Linked DNA regions of Xenopus tropicalis. The protein of the gene in region 1 purifies or fractionates together with the protein of each later gene. This does not show direct contact. Links are inferred from orthologs where the notes say so. Each region holds a gene or a part of one and is shown in the gene's direction. Other genes may lie near its edges. The genes, in order: abcc1 and vdac3.

Region 1 (3,820 bases):
TTTGATTACTGTACTGCTGTCACTTATGCAGGTAATGACTTTGTATCTTCTCATGTCAACAGTGATATTAAGGGGGTTGCCTCTTCTGGCTACCCCAGCAAATCATTTATTACTAGGTGAGAACCAAGGAGTAGCTTCACCTTGCAAATTGCAAACAGTCTTCCTCTTTGGCAGTACACCTGAGTTTTTATGCAACCAAAACTTTCCTCTAAGTCTTAAATTCAAAAATGAACACCTAGTTTGAGACCACTGAAGGCACTGGTTGGGGACCATTGATCTAGAATGGTGATCCCCCAACCAGTGGCTTGTGAGCAACATGTTGCTCCCCAACCCCTTGGATGTTGATTCCAGTGGCCTCAATTTTTGAATTCCTGGCTTGGAGGCAAGTTTTTGGTACTGCCAAACAGAGCCTCATGTAGGCTGACAGTCTACATAAGGGCCTACCAAATAGCCAATCATAGCCCTTATTTGGCACCCCCAGTAACATTTATCATGCTGCCCAACTCTTTTTACACTTGAATGTGGCTCACGGGTAAAAAAAAGTTGGGGACATCTGATCTAGAATATAGGTTATACTTACTACTTGTTAGGCCTGTGCTATATACAGTAACTAGATTTCTAGCCAAACACATACTCCTAAATGCACTGTCCAACCTCTTTTAAAAGGAATAAGAAGGGTAGTTCTGCATGCTTTGGGAAGTAAATGCAATGGTTAAAAACTGTCATTGCTGCAGTGGGTGACAGCCCCTTTCTGCCAGAGCATTGAATGGAATTGTTTGCTTTTGTAGTACGGTTTTTCATGTAACTGGCTTAATATTCAGGTAATTTCAAGTAATGTGTGAAAATCCTCTCCCACCATCTGGTGGTTTTTAGAAGGCACTCTGATTAGTGTAAACTTTTTGCTGTTACCCAGAATGATTCATTAAAGTGACTATTTCATCCAGTTGTATTCTGGTTCGTTGAATTGCGCAGTTGACGTGTGCCAAATATAAACAAGAAATGTAAGTTTTTTGAATAATATCCCGTATAATGAAGAAGCTTCTCTAAAATGCCACCTTTTTCCTCCACTCCCATAGAAGCACCAAGTCCAGTCCCTTCAGAAGAAAAACGTTTGGAGAATGGAATTTTAAGAAATGAAAGGAATTTACAGAGGTGTGTATCAGAAATCATGCAGTTGCAGTCATTCCACTTCTTATTGCAGCTTTAGCACATTTATCTTTTTGCATGTTAGCTCCTTAGCACTTTCATATACATTTTCTCTTTAATTTCAGACAATTAAGTGCATCCTCTGAAACCAAGTCTTTGAATCAGAACAAGACAGGAGATTTAAACAGCTCAGAAAAAGATGATTGGAAACTGACTGAAGCAGACAAAGCCAAAACAGGAAGGGTAAGCCACACCCCCTTGTCTGTTTAGTTTTATTATTATTATGATCCTCTTAAAGCAGGGGTGGCCAATACGTCGATAGCGGTCCACCAGTTGATCCCCCGTGGATTTCTGGTGGACTGCGATGAAGCCGGGGATGCGGAAGTGCCGCGTGAATGCATACGTATGCTGTGTCGCGTATATACGGCGTATATACGCCGCACTTCCGCATCCCCGGCTTCATTGGTCGATCGCGGACGAAAAAAGTCTGCCCATCCCTGTCTTACAGTGTATAGCGCAGACATATTCAGCGCACTGAATTACAGGTCAGTCCCTGCTCTAGTGAAGCTTGCAGTGTGAGATCACACAAACTTTATACAGGTATGAGTTATAGGAAGGCCATCTCCCATATTTTAATGAAATAATTCAAAAAGTTTAACATTATTTTCTTTTTCTCTGTAAAAATAAAACAATACCTTGTACTTCATCCCAACTAAGATATAATGAATCCTTATTGGAGGCAAACAGTCCAATTGGGTTTATTTAATGTTTAAAGGATTTTTTAGTAGACTTAAGGTATGGAGATCCAAATTACAGAAAGACCCTTTATCCCTTTGTCCTGAGCATTCTGGATAATAGGTCCCATACCTGTAGATAAAATTATCAGGAACCAGTTAACCTGCCTGTGTATTTGTGGAGTGTGGAAGAAAACAACCAGAGTTCCAGGTGACCACACCCTTTTTTGAGACGACTGCAAACAGCTGTAGCTGTTTAAGGTTTTAAAGGGCCAAATAATGAAGAAAATCCTTTAGAGATGAGATTCCTTCTGATCAAGCTTTTTAGTATATTTTATGAAGTTTCACTTTCATTTAACAGATGTGGACCTTAAGAGAGATTTCGGGTTTATTAATGGTGCACATGTTTTACACAAGTGTAGTATCATATTAAATCTCAGTAAGTCTCCAGGCTAAAATTTTTCTTTCATGTTTGATAGGTAAAGCTGGCAGTATTCTGGGAGTATATGAAAGCCATCGGACTGTTTCTTTGCTTCCTAAGCATTTTTCTTTTTATGTGCAACCATGTTGCATCTTTGGCCTCTAACTATTGGCTTAGTCTGTGGACAGATGACAAGGTTGTTAATGGGACACAACAAAATACTACAATGAGGCTGAGTGTTTATGGAGCTTTGGGATTCTCACAAGGTATGCTGAGGTTTCTTCTGATTGACAGTACTAAGCATTAGGCTTATCATGTATTTCTTGTGTTATTTTATAAGTAAATGGGATCATACATAGAGATAAGAAGCACAACTGTTGGTCACACTGCAATGCACTCTGTAGAGTTCTCTGGGGAAGGAAAATTTAGTGGGACACTGCTGCTGTTTTAGGGCACCTTAGGGCATCTCTCTAGCTCTTGTGGATGAAAACAACCTTTACTGAAAATGAACAGTTCTTGTCTGGTAGCTATGGGTTACTGCAAACTAATACTGCAGGGTAAAAAATAGCTTAACCTGATCATTCTGAGGCTAATGAAGCAGAAGGTAACGTGTGTCACTTTCTTCCCATTGTAGGCATTGCAGTGTACGGATATTCTACGGCTGTATCCCTAGGAGGGATTCTTGCATCCCGGTTCCTTCACACAGATTTGCTGCACAATGTCCTGCGGTTTCCTATGAGCTTCTTTGAACGGACCCCAAGTGGGAATCTTGTAAACCGTTTTTCAAAGGAAATAGACACCATTGACAATACCATCCCTCAGATCATTAAGATGTTCATGGGGTCCCTGTTTAATGTCATCGGTGCATGTGTTATCATTCTAACTGCAACCCCCATAGTCGCTGTAATCATTCCACCCCTTGGTCTGGTTTACTTCTTTGTACAGGTAAATATAAATTGAGGAATCCTTCTCATAAGATATTTATTTTGTTATTCTTGCACAGAGCAGTGTTGAGCATGCTGGTCCTAACAATATCACATTGCTGCATGATGTGGTAGATTAGTGCAGGCACACTACTGGTTTTCCAGCAGTCACTGAGAGACTGGATGAGATGAGGAGCCCTTCAGTTCTTTGGGCTAATGAGCATTTGTACTTGCCCATACGATCATCTGGCAGAATGATTTATTGACTTGCCGACCCAACAAAGTGGTTCCCTGTTGCTCTGTATTTTGACCTTAGTGCAGTCACCTTTAGCGAGAATGGTGAGCAAAGGCTGCATCAGGATATGTAGCTTGGAGGAGCAATAGTGCGTGCATGACCTTGATGTTAATGCCTGTGCTTTAAATCCTCTTCGTATGGATTTTTATAGTGATGGTTTCACTTTAAATTTAGCATAAAGCCAGACAACGCAGCAAGAAATCTTGCAGTGGGGCCCTAAAATTAGTCTGTAAGAAGTCTATAAAAATAGCACATTCGTTATTTTTACTAATAAGTCATTCTTTTATTTGAGCATCAGTGT
Region 2 (3,920 bases), on another chromosome or scaffold:
TCCCACATTCTACAGCAGCAGGGGAACCAATAGGAAGAGAGAGCCAGTCTAGTAAAGCTGGTATGGGCGGGGCTTGCGGTTGGGAGCCAATGGGAGAAGCGTAGTGTTTTCCATCCTATGGCAGGGAAGGCGTGACACGGTTTGGGATTAGCGCATGCGCAGAGAGGTGAGACGCAGAGACCTTCAGCCGGGGACAGGTGACAAGTGGGCAGACAAAGGGGACTTGTGTGTCGGGTAAATGTGTAAAGGTGGGGTTAGAGCGCTGCAGAAAGCGTGCTGGGTAGGGGGGCAACAGAGCTGGGTGCGTGTAGGTGGGTGTGTGCGGGGTGTGTGTAGGGGAGAGGTGCAGGCTCCAGGGGGGGGGGGGGGTTACACAGTTGTGAAACTAAGGGGGACATGTTGTGTATAACTGAGACAGGCAGGTAGTGATGCACCGTGAGCAGCCCTGTTGGGCCAGCCTAGTGTATAGAGACCTGAGAGCAGCTCCTTCCTGGGAGAGCAGCAGTGTCCTGTAAGTGGGTGGGAGCCTTATGGGGCCACATCCAAGGGGAAGCAACATGACTTACTGACAGGGGATGTTCAGCCTGGGGGCCCCCAACAGCTGGAGGGCATGCAAGCAATGATGGGCAACTGGACAAACCTCCCAACAGCTGGAGGGCATGCAAGCAATGATGGGCAACTGGACAAACCTCCCAACAGCTGGAGGGCATGCAAGCAATGATGGGCAACTGGACAAACCTCCCAACTCCCAGCATGCCTAGGCAGCCTTCAGTGGAATTCTGGAGGGATTGTAGTTCAGCGACCCCAAGAGAGCCTACAGGCATCTAATTTATAGAGTAGAAGGCAGTTTGATTGCAGAATATATGGCGGCCAGTGGGATTGTGCAGCTGCTGCTATCTGTATTTCAGCAAGAGCCCAGGCTGCAGATACGTGAGGCTCAGTCTGTGCAGAGCGACTTGTACTGACAGGAACCAGTTTAGCCAGTGAAAGGGCCACAGAGAGCAATGTAAGGAATGGCGTTGGTGAAAGGTTATTCCACAGATCAATCACACAGTGACAGTAGTTCTGTAGCTGCTGCACCATCAAGCACCTTGTACAGTGTGTAGGGAAGAACATTCACTCCTGTAAGGCTACAGCACAGTCATTTGCACTGGGAACAGAAGGGGTTTGGGTGCACATGGGGGGTTTATATTACAACTGGGAAATAAGTACGAAAAAAATCTATGAGCCTTATTTGAAGTCCAGTAAAAATATGTTTATATTAGTGGCAATCAGAGGAGTGACCTGTAGGAGGGGCATAAGGAGTCAATAAGGTTTACTAGGAAGAACTTTATAAATGATATTATTATTGGTGCATGGATATTTTATCTGTAAATATTATTTCCTTCATAGTAAACATGGCCGTGCCACCTACATACGCAGACCTGGGCAAAGCCGCCCGAGATGTTTTTAATAAAGGATATGGTGAGTTGGGACTAATTTATATTTTATATCAACTTACAGGTTTTTGAGCTATGCAGTGTAAATTAAATGTATCACCTCTAGCTTTGGAAGAGAACCAGGAAGCCCTATAGTAGTGATGTCCAACTGGTGCCCCTCTGTTTGCCCCCCCCCCCCCATCTGTCCAACATGTGGCCCTTGGCCTCCCATGTGTCTAGCTGCTGTGACTGCTTATTTTTGTGTATGCTTTAAATGGTGTCAGTACCGAGATTAACTGCCCCATCTCAGATTCAGACTGTAAGTCTATGTATTTTTCACACCTGTAATGTCCTGTCACACCTCAGATCTATGCTGCCTGGCCTGTGTGTGCCATACTCTGCCTGTCCTATGCTGCCTGTGTGTGCCATACTCTGCCTGTGTGTGCCATACTCTGCCTGCCCTACCCTGCCTGTGTGTGCCATACTCTGCCTGCCCTATGCTGCCTGTGTGTGCCATACTCTGCCTGCCCTATGCTGCCTGTGTGTGCCATACTCTGCCTGCCCTATGCTGCCTGTGTGTGCCTTACTCTGCCTGCACTATGCTGCCTGTGTGTGCCATACTCTGCCTGCCCTATGCTGCCTGTGTGTGCCATACTCTGCCTGCCCTATGCTGCCTGTGTGTGCCATACTCTGCCTGCCCTATGCTGCCTGTGTGTGCCATATTCTGCCTGCCCTTAGCTGCCTGTGAGTGCCATACTTTACCTGCTCTATGCTGCCTGTGTGTGCCATACTCTGCTTGCCCTAGGCTGCCTGTGTGTGCCATACCCTGCCTGCCCTATGCTGCCTGTGTGTGCCATACTCTGCCTGCCCTATGCTGCCTGTGTGTGCCATACTCTGCCTGCCCTATGCGGCCTGTGTGCCATACTCTGCCTGCCCTATGCGGCCTGTGTGTGCGCCATACTCTGCCTGCCCTATGCGGCCTGTGTGTGCGCCATACTCTGCCTGCCCTATGCGGCCTGTGTGTGCCATAGTCTGCCTGCCCTATGCTGCCTGTGTGAGCCATAGTCTGCCTGCCCTATGCTGCCTGTGGGGATCCCCCTATTCTCTGCTGCAGAACATAATGCAGTGTAATTCTCTGACTCTAGGATTTGGCCTGGTGAAGCTGGATCTCAAGACCAAGTCCTCCAGTGGAGTGGTGAGTAAGATACAATGCGTTGTTATTGTTGTGCTTCCTGTATGAGCATTCAGTGTAATGTGCTTGTTTCCTCCCTTTCCATGCGGCACTGGAAACCCTATAGATGGTAAGGAAATAATATCTTACTGTAATTCTATTGGCAGGGCATTCATTGTTTAATGCTAAAAGCCCATGGTGTGGCTTATTTATTAAAAGTCCTCAAGAGCAAATGGGCCTGCATCCATGTGACTTGGGTGACCTGGAGTATTGGGGGGAAAATATGTAGTTTCAGGGGCACTCCTACTCGTTAAGCCTAATAAACATGCATACATTCTTAACCAATCACAGGCCTGTGTGATATACTAAGGCGAGGGCCATAAATAGATTACAAAAAAGCCCATACACCAGTCCCATTATGTTCTGGGTACAAACATCTCTGACCCTATACTGTATGACACTGAATTGGGTATGGGGGGGTTACTTTCAGGAGTTCACAAGCAGCGGCTCATCCAACACTGACACAGGGAAAGCATCAGGCAACCTAGAGACAAAATACAAGATGAAAGAGGCTGGAGTCACCTTCACCCAGAAATGGAACACAGACAACACCCTGGGGACTGAAGTGGCCATTGAAGATAAGGTGAGACCCCGACAGTTGGAGGCTGTTTCCAGTTGGCTGCTGTCTTATTCTGACTGCCTCTCTGTGTTCTTCTATCCGCGCAGTTGGCAACAGGTTTGAAGCTCTCAGTGGACACTACATTTGTGCCCAATACGGGGTAAGTGACAAACTCCTCTTGAAATATAGGGGGTGGGGCAGGGGTCCCTAGTAGCCATCTTTACTGCTATGTCCCATTCCCATCATCTCTCCCCTTATGGTCTTTTACTATTCTCCCAAATCATTTCAATGCCCTTTGTACTCTTCTTTGCCATCCTTTCACATCCTTGCTTTCTCTCCCACAGTAAGAAGAGCGCTAAGCTAAAGACCTCCTACAAAAGAGACCATGCCAACGTGGGCATTGATATAGACCTGGACTTGGCTGGTCCCACCATATATGGCTGGGGGGTGCTTGGCTATCAGGGCTGGCTGGCTGGCTATCAGATGGCATTCGACACCGCTAAATCCAGACTGGCACAAAACAACTTTGCATTGGGCTATACAGCAGGAGACTTCCAGCTTCATACAAATGTGTAAGTGTGTAAGGTAGCTGTAACACTGTGCATTGTACCAACCTGTAGCCTGGGCAGCCTGCTATGTATAGTACTGATGAGTACCTCTGTATGCTCATAACTAATGCACTCTACTGAACAAATTTTGTCTGTGTACAACG

Evidence for each region.
Region 2: the proteins of abcc1 (region 1) and vdac3 fractionate together in Homo sapiens (co-fractionation; 3 studies listed by BioGRID). This does not show direct contact. The link is inferred for Xenopus tropicalis from reciprocal best matches to the Homo sapiens genes ABCC1 and VDAC3.

The regions. Positions count from the first base shown.
Region 1 is NC_030685.2:33,870,145-33,873,964, reverse strand, and holds part of abcc1 (ATP binding cassette subfamily C member 1), read left to right. Parts: intron 1-1,076; coding exon 1,077-1,152; intron 1,153-1,271; coding exon 1,272-1,389; intron 1,390-2,359; coding exon 2,360-2,567; intron 2,568-2,935; coding exon 2,936-3,246; intron 3,247-3,820.
Region 2 is NC_030679.2:130,615,432-130,619,351, forward strand, and holds the start of vdac3 (voltage-dependent anion-selective channel protein 3), read left to right. Parts: upstream 1-1,390; 5' UTR 1,391-1,392; coding exon of another isoform or gene 1,393-1,397; coding exon 1,398-1,464; intron 1,465-2,563; coding exon 2,564-2,613; intron 2,614-2,716; coding exon of another isoform or gene 2,717-2,719; intron 2,720-3,079; coding exon 3,080-3,232; intron 3,233-3,315; coding exon 3,316-3,368; intron 3,369-3,552; coding exon 3,553-3,780; intron 3,781-3,920. UniProt on the Homo sapiens protein: Non-selective voltage-gated ion channel that mediates the transport of anions and cations through the mitochondrion outer membrane and plasma membrane.